2 linked regions of the Anolis sagrei genome follow. The protein of the gene in region 1 interacts with the protein of each later gene in a pairwise test. Links are inferred from orthologs where the notes say so. Each region holds a gene or a part of one and is shown in the gene's direction. Other genes may lie near its edges.

Region 1 (7,440 bases):
CTTGTTTGGAACTTTAGCACAGTCTATTTGAAAAAGGGGCATGGAAGACTGGACAGACATAGTTCTAGATTCCACCTTTATTAATTATTGCCAGAGGTGATTTATTTGTTCAAGCATTCCCATCAGAATTGCTGTCATACCTTTTGACTTAGAAAGGTTATTTGGGACTATAACCTCCAGGAACTCTCAGTCAGTGTGACCACTGTAGTCCAAAGAAAGTAACTTTCTAAGCTCATCAAAACAGGTAACTGTTTACAACCTAGACATTATTTTTTGTCATCATACATAGCCATGTGATTTCATTCAGGCAACACACCTGAATCAAAATGCCTCAACACTGGGATTTTAACATTCCAACAGCAAAGATTACAAATTCAGATTGAGGTAGTGGGCACACCAAAAGAAAAACAGGTGTTGCACAGAGCCAGTGTATATACTGTTGAATAGATTGCATTCACAACAGTGCTAGCAGGTTGTGAAAGGTTGTTTATCTTCCCAGACTTGCTCCTTCAGATAAAATGCCCACCCCATGTGCATTCTCATGTGATCAAAACAGAGAGAGCAAAAGCCTTGGGAGACTTCCTGACCCCGAATTTCATGAGACACTCCTTAGTCTCTGCTCTCAGGCTCCTCCACACCCCCATCACCCCACCTCCAACCCCATGAGACAAATCTCACTTCAATAGAATCTATTATGTCTCTTTTATCCCTTTGCTTTTCAATGGATGACTTGGTTTTGCCTGGGAAGCCCAGCCCCACCGCAGCTAAAGGAGACCAATGGCTGCTAAGCACAGGGAAGAATTAATGCTAAGCGACTGTGCCTTTGTGAGTCTAAGGACTCCAGGCCCATCAAGAATGCCTGGGAACATGTGCAGATTACAACAGGGTGCAAGCAAAAGATTTTTTTTTAAAAAGTCCATTGAAAACAAACATCAACTTTAAATCAGTGTTAACCAGACAGGCAACCCCTATAATGCAAGTTTGGAAACAGGGGCCCCAACACTGTCTCTTTGTTAATTCCATGAAAGCCCCGTCAGCAATGGACAAAGACAAATTTGGAGGGGATGTTGCCATGTGTCAGGTGCAGCAGCGAATGCAGGGGAAGTGAAGGGAATAGACACATGCCATTGGTCCACTGCTCCCTCAGATACAGCTGAGCTACAATTGCACTCAGGGAAGAGAAGGTTACAGGGTCACAGTCTCAAGCAGCATTCTGGCAGGCTGAACAGTTAAGTATAGGAATTTAAGTGCAGCAATGTGCGGAGAAGCATCCAAGAATGCTGCTGTGATCATTACCACACGATGAGCAATCTACCTCTGTCCCTTTGGCAACACTCATTTCAGATATTCATAGTTCTTTGGTACAGGCAGGGGTGGGAAACCTATCCCTCCCAGTTGCTATTGAACTCTAACTCCCATTAGCCTCAGACAGCATGAAAAATGTTCAGGGATAATGAGGAATACATTAGTCTGAAATGTCTGAAGAGTCAATTTCCCTATGTGAATCCTAAGGAAATTACCAGTCACACAGATCAGCGATTGGGTAGTATTTAGTACAGAGACTGCTTGAAAACAAGATAACTGTAGCTCTAACTATAAGTAGGTACTGTCAAGAAAGTTGTTGTTCATCCTTTGGGCCATTGCTATCTAAATGGTTAAAATGCCACCTGTTGACTTTGAATGGGACACTGTCCTCTGGTCAAAACTTAATTAATTACAGCTGAACCTTTATGAATTAATAGATTGTGCAACAATATAAGGTGTTTCTTAAAAACATTTCTCTGTAGATTTCCGTGTACTTAACACTCATGTTCAAACCAGTGGGAATAAAAAGCCTAAATCCAGATAGAGCAGATTCACAAAACCAATTGCTGAATAGTATGTCAACCCATGGCCTAAATATCCTAAAGGCACCAAAGCCTATCTGATCTTGGAAGCTAAGAAGGATCAGTCCCAGTTAGTAATTGAATGGGTGACCACCAAAGAATATGAGGTCCTGTAGTTTATATTTCAGAGGATGGAACTGGCAAAGTCACCTCTACGTATTCCTTGTCTAAGAAAACCATATAAAATTAATGGGGTCACAAGTTGAGAGGTGATGTAATAGCACATATGCATAGGTCAGTTTCATTGATTCTATAGGGATACCCTAGTTGGGGCTAGCAATTAGATTTAGTCCACTATGTTTAGTTTTGTCTGGATCATTCCAGCTTCCACTAATTATTCTGATTGAACTGAATACACACATGAACTCTGACAATAATTAGAAATCTTTGTTGATACTGTAGAGAAAAAAGAGTAACACCCCAAAAATGTCCCAAGAGCATTAGAAGGAATTTTGTAAAATGATGTTAATCGGGATTAGCAGTGTACCAGCTTGAAATCAAACAAAACTGGGGAATCTGAATTAACTAGCACTGATTAGATTACATTTTGCATATGAATCAAATGAAAAATGAAGTTTGCCTAATTGGCATATTGGGTGGGTTTCAGATTCATTAAGTGCAACTATATCTCAGTAGTCTAAAGTCACACCTGCCTTTTCACACTGTATATAATGAGACTCAAGTGCAACTATATTAGTCTCAACCTAAACTCTTATGTACATATAAGACCATATTAAAAGAGCTAAAGATGTAAAATGTTAAGAAAGCATGTGACTAAAGCCAAACCACAGAATGTTGCTAGCGAAATTTACATAAGATAAGAAAGGAAATGGGATTGAGGTGAGTAACAAAGAGACAAAAGGTAATGTATGAGAGCAGACAAGGTGAAGTTCAGATAATTCAGGAAAGAGTTACAGGTCCTGAGGTAGAAGATAGATTAGAGGTCACTGGACAAATAAACAATGCAACAGGAAGTACAGAAATGAAGCCAAAAGGAAATTGCAAAAAAAGAACTACATAAGAAAGTATGTGCTGAAACTAACACAGAAAAACCTATCTTGCTTGGAACAATATTTGTGATAAACATACTATTGTTTAAAAGATTTAGAAGAATTTTTATCATGAGTAATTTTTGGAGACAGTCAGACTGGCATACTTATGAAACAATTCTGTCTGTTTCGTCTCTTCCTTCCTGTTTTAACTTCCTGCTCACTTCCTGTGAAGATGACGTACAGTTGTAAACATCTTAGCCTAAACCATACCACATCCTGCCAAGGTTACTGATCTACTCTGATACAGTCTCTTCCCCAGAAAGCCTGTCTGTGGAGAGAATACTCAGACTTGCATGCCATTTTATGTAGCTTTGGGCTGGAGGGGGGAACCAGTATGAAACCAAGGGCCCTTCTACATAGCCCTATATCCCAGAATAACAAGGCAGAAAATCCCACAATATCTTCTTTGATCTGGGTTACCTGAGTCCACACTCAGATAATGTGGGATTTTCTGCCTTGATATTCTGGGATATAGGGCTGTGTGGAAGGCCCTTGTTTATTTCTCCTGTGGTAGAAACAGGATAATTTATGTTTTCAGCTGGTATCAAATCCTACCCTGACCCTGTTTTCCTAGAACATTCATCACATGACAAACTTGAAGAAATCAACACTTTATGTCACCACATTAAACAGTTTTTGGCATGTCCTAACACTACGATCTAAGGGCCCTTCCAGACAGCCAGATTACCCAGAAGATCAAGGCAGAAAATCCCACAGTATCTGCTTTAAACTGGGTTTTCTGAGTCCACACTATTAATTCCAGTTCAAAGCAGATCATGTGGGATTTTATTCAGCTATGTGGGAGGGGGCCGTGTGAAAATTTTGACAGCTGTCAAACATCTTTTCTCTCCGTTTAAAGCATAATCCCGTGTATACCTTCATAACGATGGTGGCATGTATAAAACACACACAAGTTCTCCAGTATTATCAATAGGACTTTGTTAATGGGGTTTGTAGTTTTGTAAGGCACCAGGTTCGAATCCGGGGAGCGGGGTGAGTTCCCGCTGTTAGCGCCAGCTTCTACCAACTTTGCAGTTTGAAAGCATGCGAGTGTGAGTAGATCAAGAGGGACCGTTTCTGCGGGAAGATAACGGCGCTCCATCCACATGACCTTGGAGGCGTCTACGGACAACGCCAGCTTTTCGGCTTAGAAATGGAGATGAGCACCATCGGACAGTGTCAGGGAAAACCTTTACCTTTTAAGGGACCAGCACTCATTGGCAGAGAACAACAGAGGCCCTGTATAACTACAAATCCCATGGTGGTATAGCATTAAGCCTGTTCAGGTCCTGCATTCCGTATTTCACAATGCCGAGGCAGCATTGTGGCCCCGCCTACCGAGAACTGACGCGGGTTCCCGCCAGCGGCGCCTCATCTGCATGATCCCGCCCCTTTCTCTTGGCCCCGCCCCTCCAGGGCGTTGAGCTTTTCTCGTGCCGGGCCTCGCCTCCCTCTGTGACGTATCACTGACGCCTGCTGCCCCGGATGAGGCTGGGTTCGGAGTGTGTCAGCGACTGTGTGGGGATGCGGCGGAGGCGGCAGTAGTAGCAGGAGGAGCAGCAGCAGCAGGTTCCGCGAGAGAGACAGCTGGTAAGGCGCACCAGGCGGGGCCTGGCAGGGAGGGAGGCAGGGAGGATGTCCGGGTACTAGGGCACGGTGTTGTCGAATCCGGCTGGGCCCCCCTCCCTTCCCGAAAAAGCTCCCGTTTCCCTCCTTCCCCGATTGGCCGCTAATTGACAACGGGGCAGATTCCGCCCCTTAGCGGGCGCTTATTAGTTGAAACCAGCGGCACGGCTCGCCGCGATTGGCTCGAAGCGCTGTCACTCACGGAGTAGGGCGGTGGCGAGTGTCCCCTGAGGGAGCCGGGAGGGGGTTCACGAGGTGACCGTTGGCGTGTCGCTCGCACCCTGAGTGGGGGGGGGGGCGAATTGGGAGGCGGGGGCCGCGCGCGTGGCGTCTCCTTCAAGGCCCGCGTGGCCTCGTGACTCTTCGGACCCGCCTCGCGCGATTCTGGCGCCTGCCTCTTCCAGCTCCCGCCGGCCTGGGCCCTCTTTTATGCCGAAAGGGGCACCCGCCTGCCTCGACTCCTTCCCCTCTTTCACCTTCCGCTCTTCGCAGCTCAACGCCCGCCCCGGGGCCAGTCGCTTGGCCTTTTCTCGAAGGACCGGGCCTACTAGGAGCATCTGAAGAGCATCCGGGTCGAGGGAGCCTCTGGCAACATCTCCCTCCCCCACGTCTTTCTATTTGGTCATGCTTGACTCACGTTAAAGTTCTGGGGTTTCCACCTGAACACCCATTCTCTAAGTACTTCATAACACTAGAGAATGAATCTACATTAAATACGGTTTCTTCTTCTGCAGAATTCTGGGGTCTGTAGTTTAGGGAGGAGCCTTTAACAGCCTCACTAAACTACAAACCCCAGAATTCTGTGGCAGGCAGAAACCGGATTTAAAGTGGATTCATTCTCTAGTGTGATGAAATCATCTCTCTAGGCCTCCAGGTGATTTGTATTCCAATTCCCAAAAGCGTGAAATACTTTGGCCAGTAATCAGACATTCTGGGAACTGAAATCTGAAACACCTGGGAGGCAGGAGCTGGGGAGTCATTTACTAGAACTAAGGCCCCATCTACATTGACCATCAGACTGGCAGCCAGACACAGAAGTGGATGAAAGAAAACCCCTTCATATGTACCAATGCTCTGTGGTTTGTCATCACCATCCTGGCCGCAAACTGGTTCCAGAATTTCCTGTTTAATCGTCTGCACAGCTAAACCAGCATACTTTAATTCTGGTTTGAAACTGCATTAAATGGGGCTGAAGTAATAGCAAATAAGTCACAGCTGACAGATTCCCATTCTGTAAGAAGTGTATTTTTTTGGAGATAACTCGTTTGTAGTTGAGCAACATCCTCCCTCATTGTAAAATCATGATAAAGTTCTGGGTGCCCTGGTCAGTAGCTGAACTTTCCCAACTCCCTAAAACAAAACTTATTTGTCAGTTCAGGCCAGTATCAAATCTTTTGAGGGTTATACATAGACCAAAGGCCTATCAGATCTCCTTTCTGTTCCCATGTTGACCAAACAAATGCTAATTGAAAACCCACAAGCAGAACATGAGTGCATCAGCAATTATTATTATTATTATTATTATTTATTTGTACCCCGCCACCATCTCCCTGAAGGGACTCGGCATATCTAACAAAGCACTAAAGTGCCACACATAAAATAGAATTATATATCATCAAAACAAGGCACACTTTGACTGAATATAAACAACGGACAATATCAATCAATAAATTTTTTAAAATTAAAAATTCTAAAACATGTCATATCTCTCCCTTCACACTTGTGCTTATCTATGATTGGCATACAAAATATACAACTTCTAATACTGGAAATATATAATATCATGACTAATAAGTATTGGTGGTTTTGTTAGTGAATTCTAGAGTTTAAATATGTGTTGTGTGAATAAGGATCTTCTTCCCACATCTTCTGTGTAAAATCCTGGGAAGTCTGAATTCCTTTTTATTGGACCCTGTAATTTGCCGTTCTCTCCCACACACATAAAACTTTCATAAATCAGGTTAAAGTGCTGGCCACAACTGTAAAGAGCTTATGAATATTTACTTTTTGTGAATTATGCTGTAGTGCACTATTAAATATATTGTTTCATGCCCTCACTCTTGGTTTGAGTCAAAAAGATAAAAATTAGCATGATTTGTTTTTATATTTGATATGTATAAATTGTGTCTTCATAATTTTATATCATGAGGAAATGTAGGGAAGGTGAATTGAATGGTCTCTCCACTGTTTGCATTCCATTCTGACTGCTATTATTGAAGCCTAAGAGACATAGGGGAGAAATCTACAGTAAGGGAGCATGGGTAGGTTGAGGGTTTCAGTTTTCCTCCCCTGAACCAGTCTTTGCTCTTAGACCTTGATGCACTTTCACAAACTGTTACAAATGTGATTGCTTCTGTCACGTGCAACTGTACATATTCTTCCTTTGTCAGTCTTACTTGCATCTTTCTTTGTAGCATTCTGCTGTGTCACATTTCAGATTCCAGTCTCCTTGGAAAGGGACCTCTCTTGTTTGTTTGTAAAACATCATATACATTGGATCATTATTATCTCAATAACAAGAATAGCTTATTTACTAATTTTGATATTTTGCTGTAAAATTAAAGCCTCTTAGGCCCCTTCTGCATTGCCGTGTAAAATCCAAATTATCTGCTTTGATAGTCTGGATTATATGGCAGTGTAGAAGGGGCCTTAATTACTATCCTGTTAAACTTGGGTAAAGGAAAAGCCAAGGTGTTCAGCTGTCAAACAGTTGCTAAGATATACAAATATACTGATGATGTCGGAGTACTGAGTTCCCATGAGTCACTGGAAATATTATCCTGTTGCTGAATTAAGAAAGTGGCAGTTATGCAAACAGATACCACATGTTATGCAGTACAGATGTCAACTTATTGGAAGTATTTGTGATACACAAG
Region 2 (7,672 bases), on another chromosome or scaffold:
TTAAAACTCCGTCTGGAATATTTTATCTTTATGATTTCTTGAACTTCAGGATTCGCTCAGACTGAGGAAATATTTATATAAAAATAAGGAATTCCAGAAGGTGCTTTGGAAAGTTTCTCACAATAAGATAATATTTCAGTTGGCAGAGAGCAGTTGTTCACAATTTAGGAAATTTTAGAAATGTTATGGTTTGCTTTATGTAAAAATAAATAAATAAAACAAACCCAAAAGGTTGACTATATGGGAATAAGAGTTCTCTTGTAGTCCTAAATGGGAAGTGAGATTTCTATTAAAAGGTTCTTTGGCACAAAGTACTACCAACAATACCACCTATTTTTGTTAAAATATATTTGAGGTCTTGTATGAGCCAAACAAGAGTTAATGTCTTTGGTTATATTTCTATGTTGTTTTAAAATAGGAAACTCCGGTCTAGTGTAAACCCCAGAAAACAGTTCATAGGGCTGTCCTCTCAGGTTTTGCATCTAACCTTGTGTTCGCAAAAAACCCCAAAGGAGAAAAAAAGGTGGGAATGTCTCAATAGTACTATCTCCTTTCCATATTTCAGTTGGTAGAGAACAGTTGTTCACCATTTAGGAAGCCTTAGGCCCCTTCCACACAGCTGAGCAAAATCCCACATTATCTGCTCTGAACTGGATTATTATTATTAATAATAATATTATTTGCCATATTTATATCCCGCCCTTCTTACCCCAAAGGGGACTCAGAGCAGCACACATAATGGCACAATTTGATGTCATACAGAACATATCCAGCAAATAAAACATACACATTAAAACAACCGCTAAAAACATTTCAACAATTAAAATAATTAAAATCACATAATCCAATATTGTAGTCCAGGCTGTTCCAGTTATTATTGTACCACTCCACATATTGCACATTTATACATGGCACTGTGGGCTTAGATACCCCAGTTCAAAGCAGATATTGTGGGATTTTCTGCCTTGATATTCTGGGTTACATAGTTGTATGGATTTCTGTGAAAAGATGTTTGGGATCTTAGATTTTTTTTAAAATTGATTGAGACTATATGGGAATAAAAGGTCTTTTGGAGTTCTAAATGGAAAGTGAGATGTCTATTAAATTATGCCCTTTGGCGGAAAGTGCTACCCAAAACCATCAATGTTAAAAGATATTCAGAATCTTATAGCCCTTCCACAATATCTGCTTTGAACTGGGTTATCTGGGTCCATCCTCAGATAATGTGGGATTTCCTGCCTTGATATTCTGGGATATGGGCCTGTGTGGAAGAGCCCTTATTGTATGAAAAATGCTGTCAAATGGAGACGAACTGGGTTGTTTTTTTTTTGCTTATATTTGTGTGCCTGTTTCAGAATAGGAAATGTGTCACCATAAACGGCTCATAGGCCTGCCCCCTCAGGTTTTGCACCTAACCTTCTGTTTTGAGGGGATTTGTAATAAACATGAAGAAAAATTTAATGTCCTGTGACTGAGCCACCTGTTTATCTACTCACATTTGCATGTTTTCAAACTGCTAGGTTGGCAGAAGCTGGGGCTAAAAGCGGGAGTTTACCCCATCCCGTGGATTTGAACTGCTGACCTTCTGGTTAGCAAGTATTGTAGATGTCTCCTAAGTCATGTGGCTGGAATGACTGCATGGAATGCCGTTACCTTCCTGCCGAAGCAGTACCATTTTTTTTTCTCTGTCAGAAGTGACTTGAGAAACTGCAAGTCACTTCTGGTGGGAAGTACCTATTGATCTCACAACTGTATGCTTTTGAATTGTTAGGTTGGCAGAACAATGGGAGCTCACCCTGTTCCATGGATTCAAACTGTCAACCTTCCAGTCAGCAAGTTCTGCAGCTTAGTGGTTTGGCCTGCTGTGCCACTGTGACATCTTAAAACTTTAAAGGAAATTTATTTTTATTTCCAGCATTTCTACCCTGTCCTTCTCAACCCCCGAAGAGGGACTCAGGACAGCTTACATTTGGCACAATTTGATGCCATAACAAAGCAATATAACAACAATTAAACAATAAATAGAACATTAATTAAAACAATAAAACAGTATTAACTGCTGTATCACCATTCCAGTCAAATTCCATATCCAAAGCGTTATTTATGCCAGCTGTCCAAAAGCCTGGTCCCAGAACCACGACTTCTGTTTCTTCCTAAAAGACAGGAGGGATGAAATCGATCTTACCTCGTTGGGAAGCGAGTTCCACAGGCAGGGGGGCTACAGCCGAGAAGGCCCTGTCTCTCGTTCCCGCCAGATGTATTTGCGTCACTGGCAGGAGCGAGAGCAGGGTCTCCCCGAATGATCTTAAACTGCAAGGCAGGATGTAGTGGGAGAGGTGGTCGGACAAGTAAGGGCAGTGAAGACACACCCTCTCGTCATCTTTGTAAAGCCAGGTTAGGCCCCTTCCACACAGCTGAATAAAATCCCACATTATCTGCTTTGAACTGGAATATATGGCAGTGTGAACTCAGATAACCCAGTTCAAAGCAGACATTGTGGGATTTTTTGCCTTGATATTTTGGGTTATATGACCTTGTGGAAGGGCCCTCAGATAACCCCTTCCACACAGCTCACTAAAATCCTACATTATCTGATTTGAACTGAAATATATGGCGGTGTGGACTCAGATAACACAGTTCAAAGCAGATATTGTGAATTTTCTGCCTTGATATTCTGAGTTATATGATTGTGTGGAAGGGCCCTCAGATAACCCAGCCCCCTTCCACACAGCTCACTAAAATCCCACATTATCTGCTTTGAACAATATGGCAGTGTGGACTCACATAACCCAGTTCAAAGCAGACATTGTGGGATTTTCTGCCTTGGTATTCTGGGTTATATGACTGTGTGGAAGGGCTCTCAGATAATCCAGGAATATATGGCAGTGTGGACTCAGATAGCCCAGTTCAAAGCAGATATTGTGAATTTTCTGCCTTGATATTCAGGGTTATATGACTGTGTGGAAGGGCCCTCAGATAACCCAGACCCCTTCCACACAGCTCACTAAAATCCCACATTATCTGCTTTGAACTATATGGCAGTGTGGACTCAGATAACCCAATTCAAAGCAGATATTGTGGGATTTTTTGCCTTGATATTCTGCGTTATATGATTGTGTGGAAGGGCCCTCAGATAATCCAGGATTATATGGCAGTGTGAACTCAGATAACCCAGTTCAAAGCAGATATTGTGGGATTTTTTGCCTTGATATTCTGGGTTATATGATTGTGTGGGAGGGCCCTCAGATAACTCAGGCCCCTTCCACACATCTCACTAAAATCCTACATTATCTGCTTTGAACTGAGATATATGGCAGTGTGGACTCAGATAACCCAATTCAAAGCAGATATTATGGGATTTTTGCCTTGATATTCTGAGTTATATGATTGTGTGGAAGGGCCCTCAGATAATCCAGGATTATATGGCAGTGAGAACTCGGATTATCCAGTTCAAAGCAGATATTATGGGATTTTTGCCTTGATATTCTGAGTTATATGATTGTGTGGAAGGGCCCTCAGATAATCCAGGATTATATGGCAGTGTGAACTCAGATAACCCAGTTCAAAGCAGATATTGTGGGATTTTTTGCCTTGATATTCTGGGTTATATGATTGTGTGGGAGGGCCCTCAGATAACCCAGGCCCCTTCCACACAGCTCACTCAAATCCTACATTATCTGCTCTGAACTGAGATATATGGCAGTGTGGACTCAGATAACCCAGTTCAAAGCAGACATTGTGGGATTTTCTGTCTTGATATTCTGGGTTATACGATTGTGTGGAAGGGCCCTCAGATAATCCAGGAATATATGGCAGTGTGGCCTCAGATAACCCAGTTCAAAGCAGATATTCTGGGATTTTCTGCCTTGGTATTCTGGGTTTTATGACTATGTGGAAGGGCCCTCAGATAATCCAGGAATATATGGCAGTGTGGCCTCAGATAACCCAGTTCAAAGCAGATATTCTGGGATTTTCTGCCTTGATAGTTATATGACTGTGTAGAAAGGTCCTCAGATAACCCAGGCCCCTTCCACACAGCTCACTAAAATCCCACATTATCTGCTTTGAACTATATGGCAGTGTGGACTCAGCTAACCCAGTTCAAAGCAGATATTGTGGGATATTTTTTGCCTTGATATTTTGATTTATATGACTGTCTGGAAAGGCCCTCAGTTCAAAGCAGGTATTGTGGATTACTCTAGTTATATGGTTGTGTGGAGAGACCTTTTTGAAGCACAAAAAAAAGGAACTCGGGTTTGTCAGGGGCCTGGTTGCGAGAGGAACGCCTCAGCGAGCTTATAATATATACACACTCTCTCTCCTTCTCCCCTCCCCCTGCCTGCGCGCGCGCTCACGCTCTGAGAAGAGGGGGGGAGCCGTTGGAAACGTCAGAGAGAAGGGGAAGCGCGCGCTAGAGAGAGAGAGAGAGAGAGGAGGGAGCGCGCGACGCACAAACGCGCCGAGGCTCGCGCTGCCTTCCCGGCCCATGAGCCCCCGCGTGGAATGTAGAAGGGAGGGGAGGATGAGGAGGAGGATGAGGAGGACACAAGACGACCAGGCCGCCGTCTTCTTGAGCCTCTTCCTGTGAGGAAGGGCCGCACTGCGCCTGCGCGTAGCAGGCCCTGTTCTGTCGCTGCCTGCTTATTATTATTATTATTTTTTTTATGTTTTACTTTCTCTGCGTGGCCGAAGCAGCGGGGATCTCGCAGCCCTCCTTTTTTTCCTGCTCTGACGGGTTCCTCACCGTCGCCTCCTGAGGCACTTGAGGGGAGGCCTTCTTTCCCCCCCTTGCCCTTTCCCAACGGCTCTGTCTGTGGCCTCCCTCCCTCCCTCCCTCCCCACAGGCGGCCATGAGTCCCACGTCCCTGCTATGGAGGCGGTATTGGCGGCGTCGGTGGCTCAGCGACTGAAGGCGGCGGCGTTTCTGTGCCGAGCAGGGGCTTCTCGGGCTGCGGCGGCGGCGGCTCTGACGGTGCTTTTTAACCCTTAGATGGTCTCTAGCGAGCCGTTGCTACTGCCTGTGTCACTGGAGGACGAGTTCTCCAATAGCATGAAGGAGATGATCGGCGGCTGCTGCGTGTGCTCCGACGAGAGGGGCTGGGCCGAGAACCCGCTGGTTTACTGCGACGGACACGGCTGCAATGTCGCAGTGCATCAAGGTGAGTGGGGGAGGGGGAGGGGGGCAGAGGGAGGATGCCACAACAACAACAACAACAACTCTCCCTCCTACTGGGACACTTCGCTCGGGCCCTTCTTTTGATCCCATTCTAATCTTTCTTCCCCTTCAGAGCCACCAAAGCTGTCAGGAATGGTGGGAATTGAAGTCCAAAACACCTGGAGGGCCCAAGTTGGCCATGCCTGGCTGAAAATAGTTCATTTATATATTTTTAAAATACAGGCAGCCCCTAAGTTACGAACATCCGACTTAGAAACGACTCCTAGTTAATGATAATAATAATAATACTAACGCTTTATTTATATCCTGCCCTCTCCCCAGGGGACTTGAGCTTACAACAGGGACACAGTATAAAAAATCAGGCGGGGAGGGGGATGGGGGTGAGAGAAATCTGCATATAGGAAGGGAAATTCACTTCTGAAAGAGTTGTCACAGGAAAATGTGTCTTCACTGAAGCTTCTCACCAATCCTTGTTTCCATAACAAGCCATTTAAAAAAAAATAATGATCACATGGACAGAAAGTGAGGTGACATCTTCTGAAAGGAGGCGCAGATAGCAAAACAAATCCTCAGGGTTGTTAACCCTTCCCTATGCTATCAAAAGCTAAAATGGAATCTATTTTTGGATAGAGTTACACTTGAAAGCTAAAACAGAATATAATTTTAGCTGTAGTTACCCTTGAGAACAAACCTACAGAACTTATTTTGTACGTAACTTGGGGACGGCCTGTATATGATTTATTGCTTGTTTCACATAGACTCCAGTTTCTCATCACAGTTCTGCAACTTACCTACACGCTGCAGCTGACACACGAACTCGAGACACAGCCTGGAAAACTCTGGTTTAGTCTCTCTCCTTTCCTCCCCAAGAAACAAAATGGTTTTTCCTCTCCTTCCCTTCTATTATACCTGGGGGTGGGGGAGGGAGAGGGAGCTGCCAGTTTCAGAAAAGGGAGACCTTATATATAGAATCAGAGTTGGAAGAGGCCTCAAGGGCTATCCAGTTCAACTCCATTCTGCCATGCAGGAATGCACAATCAAAGCACTCTTGACAGAGGGCCATCCAGGCTCTGTTTAAAATCCTCCAGAGTGGGAAATTCCCCGATCCTCTGAGGGATCATATTCAATGTGATAGAATCATGGGAGTTGGTAGCTTGACTGCCTTTCCCGCCAAAGAGGGCCAATGATTCACCAAACTACAACTCCCAGGAATCCATAGCCTTGAGCCATGGCACATTCATTTGGCAGTGAAAATGCAGCCTCTATTTTTGTTTCTGTGTGTACCTAATGACTTGCTTGCCTGCTCTTTCCCCTCCTGTTTGCCATTGGTAGTAAAAGTTATCAGGAAGGCCAAGTTCAGAGAGTTTTGGAAAATATTGAGTCTGGGAACATCAAGCTAGGCCCTCCTCCCATGTGGATCTCACTTCCTTGGACCTTTGAGGAGTAGTCTGGCAACATGTGTGCCTGAGAGGCAGAGTTAGCTCTCATGTGACTGGCGCTTGGCTTCCCAGCCGATGGCTGCTTTGCCTGGACAGGTCGGCTGGATCAGGAGACTTCCTGTTTGCAGCAGGATGGTGCTGGGGGAGGGAAGGAAAGGGCCACTGAAGAATTTACTTAGTTTCTGATGGTAGATTTGTTTGGATTAATGGAAGGGGAGCAGTTGACCAGGGTCCAGCTGAGTTACTGTGTGGCTTGCCATAATGAACACTGTATCATTTGTTAGTGTTAGTGTCATAGAGTGCTAAAAGACCACAAGGTCCAACTCCCTGTCATGCAGGAACACACAGGGCACATCTACACTGATCATTTAATGCAGTTTAAAGACAGCCTGACAGCATTGTGTTTACATCATGCATGCCATGCACATGCACTGCAGCTTACTATAAGGGCCTTAATCTGAGGAAACCAAAGTCAAGTAATACTCTGAAACAGAGACCTTAATGTGCATCAGGGGCTTTACTGTAAACCATGTCGTAGCGAAAGTGATGAAGGGATCCACATATGTGCCAGTGATCTGCATACAAGTGCCATCCAGGCCTTGAGCCAGTTCTAGGATTTCCTATCGAATAATCTGCATCCTGAAACTGCCTCCTTATTTGACGTAAGCGGTCAGTGCAAATGTGCCTCAAATCAAAGCACTCCTGACAGATGGCCATCCAGACTCTGCTTTAAAATTCAGAGAAGGAGACTCCACCACACTCCTAATGCAGCATATTCCACTACTGAGCAGCTCTTACCACCAGGAGGTTCTTACTAATATTAAAATGGAGTTTTAGCTTTCTGCAGTTTGAATCCAGTGACTTTTAGATGTGCAATTCTACCATTATAATTCTGTTAAATCTGAGCAATTGCAATTGTCTACTCATATATTTGCATAAAAAAGCTTGATGGTGAAAGATGAGAAAGAGGGGTAATGTGAGACTTCAGTCTTCACCAATTTCATAAAAGCTTAAGCATTTTCAAATATATGAAACTGAAAGAGGAATGCAGATGATC

The links. The genes of interacting proteins can lie anywhere in the genome.
Region 2: the proteins of NDEL1 (region 1) and MLLT10 interact in a two-hybrid assay, tested with the Homo sapiens proteins (2 studies listed by BioGRID and IntAct). The link is inferred for Anolis sagrei from reciprocal best matches to the Homo sapiens genes NDEL1 and MLLT10.

Annotation. Positions count from the first base shown.
Region 1 is NC_090022.1:125,981,798-125,989,237, reverse strand, and holds the start of NDEL1 (nuclear distribution protein nudE-like 1), read left to right. Parts: upstream 1-4,339; 5' UTR 4,340-4,528; intron 4,529-7,440. UniProt on the Homo sapiens protein: Required for organization of the cellular microtubule array and microtubule anchoring at the centrosome. May regulate microtubule organization at least in part by targeting the microtubule severing protein KATNA1 to the centrosome.
Region 2 is NC_090026.1:107,723,074-107,730,745, forward strand, and holds the start of MLLT10 (protein AF-10), read left to right. Parts: upstream 1-4,419; 5' UTR 4,420-4,990; coding exon 4,991-5,159; intron 5,160-7,672. UniProt on the Homo sapiens protein: Probably involved in transcriptional regulation. In vitro or as fusion protein with KMT2A/MLL1 has transactivation activity. Binds to cruciform DNA.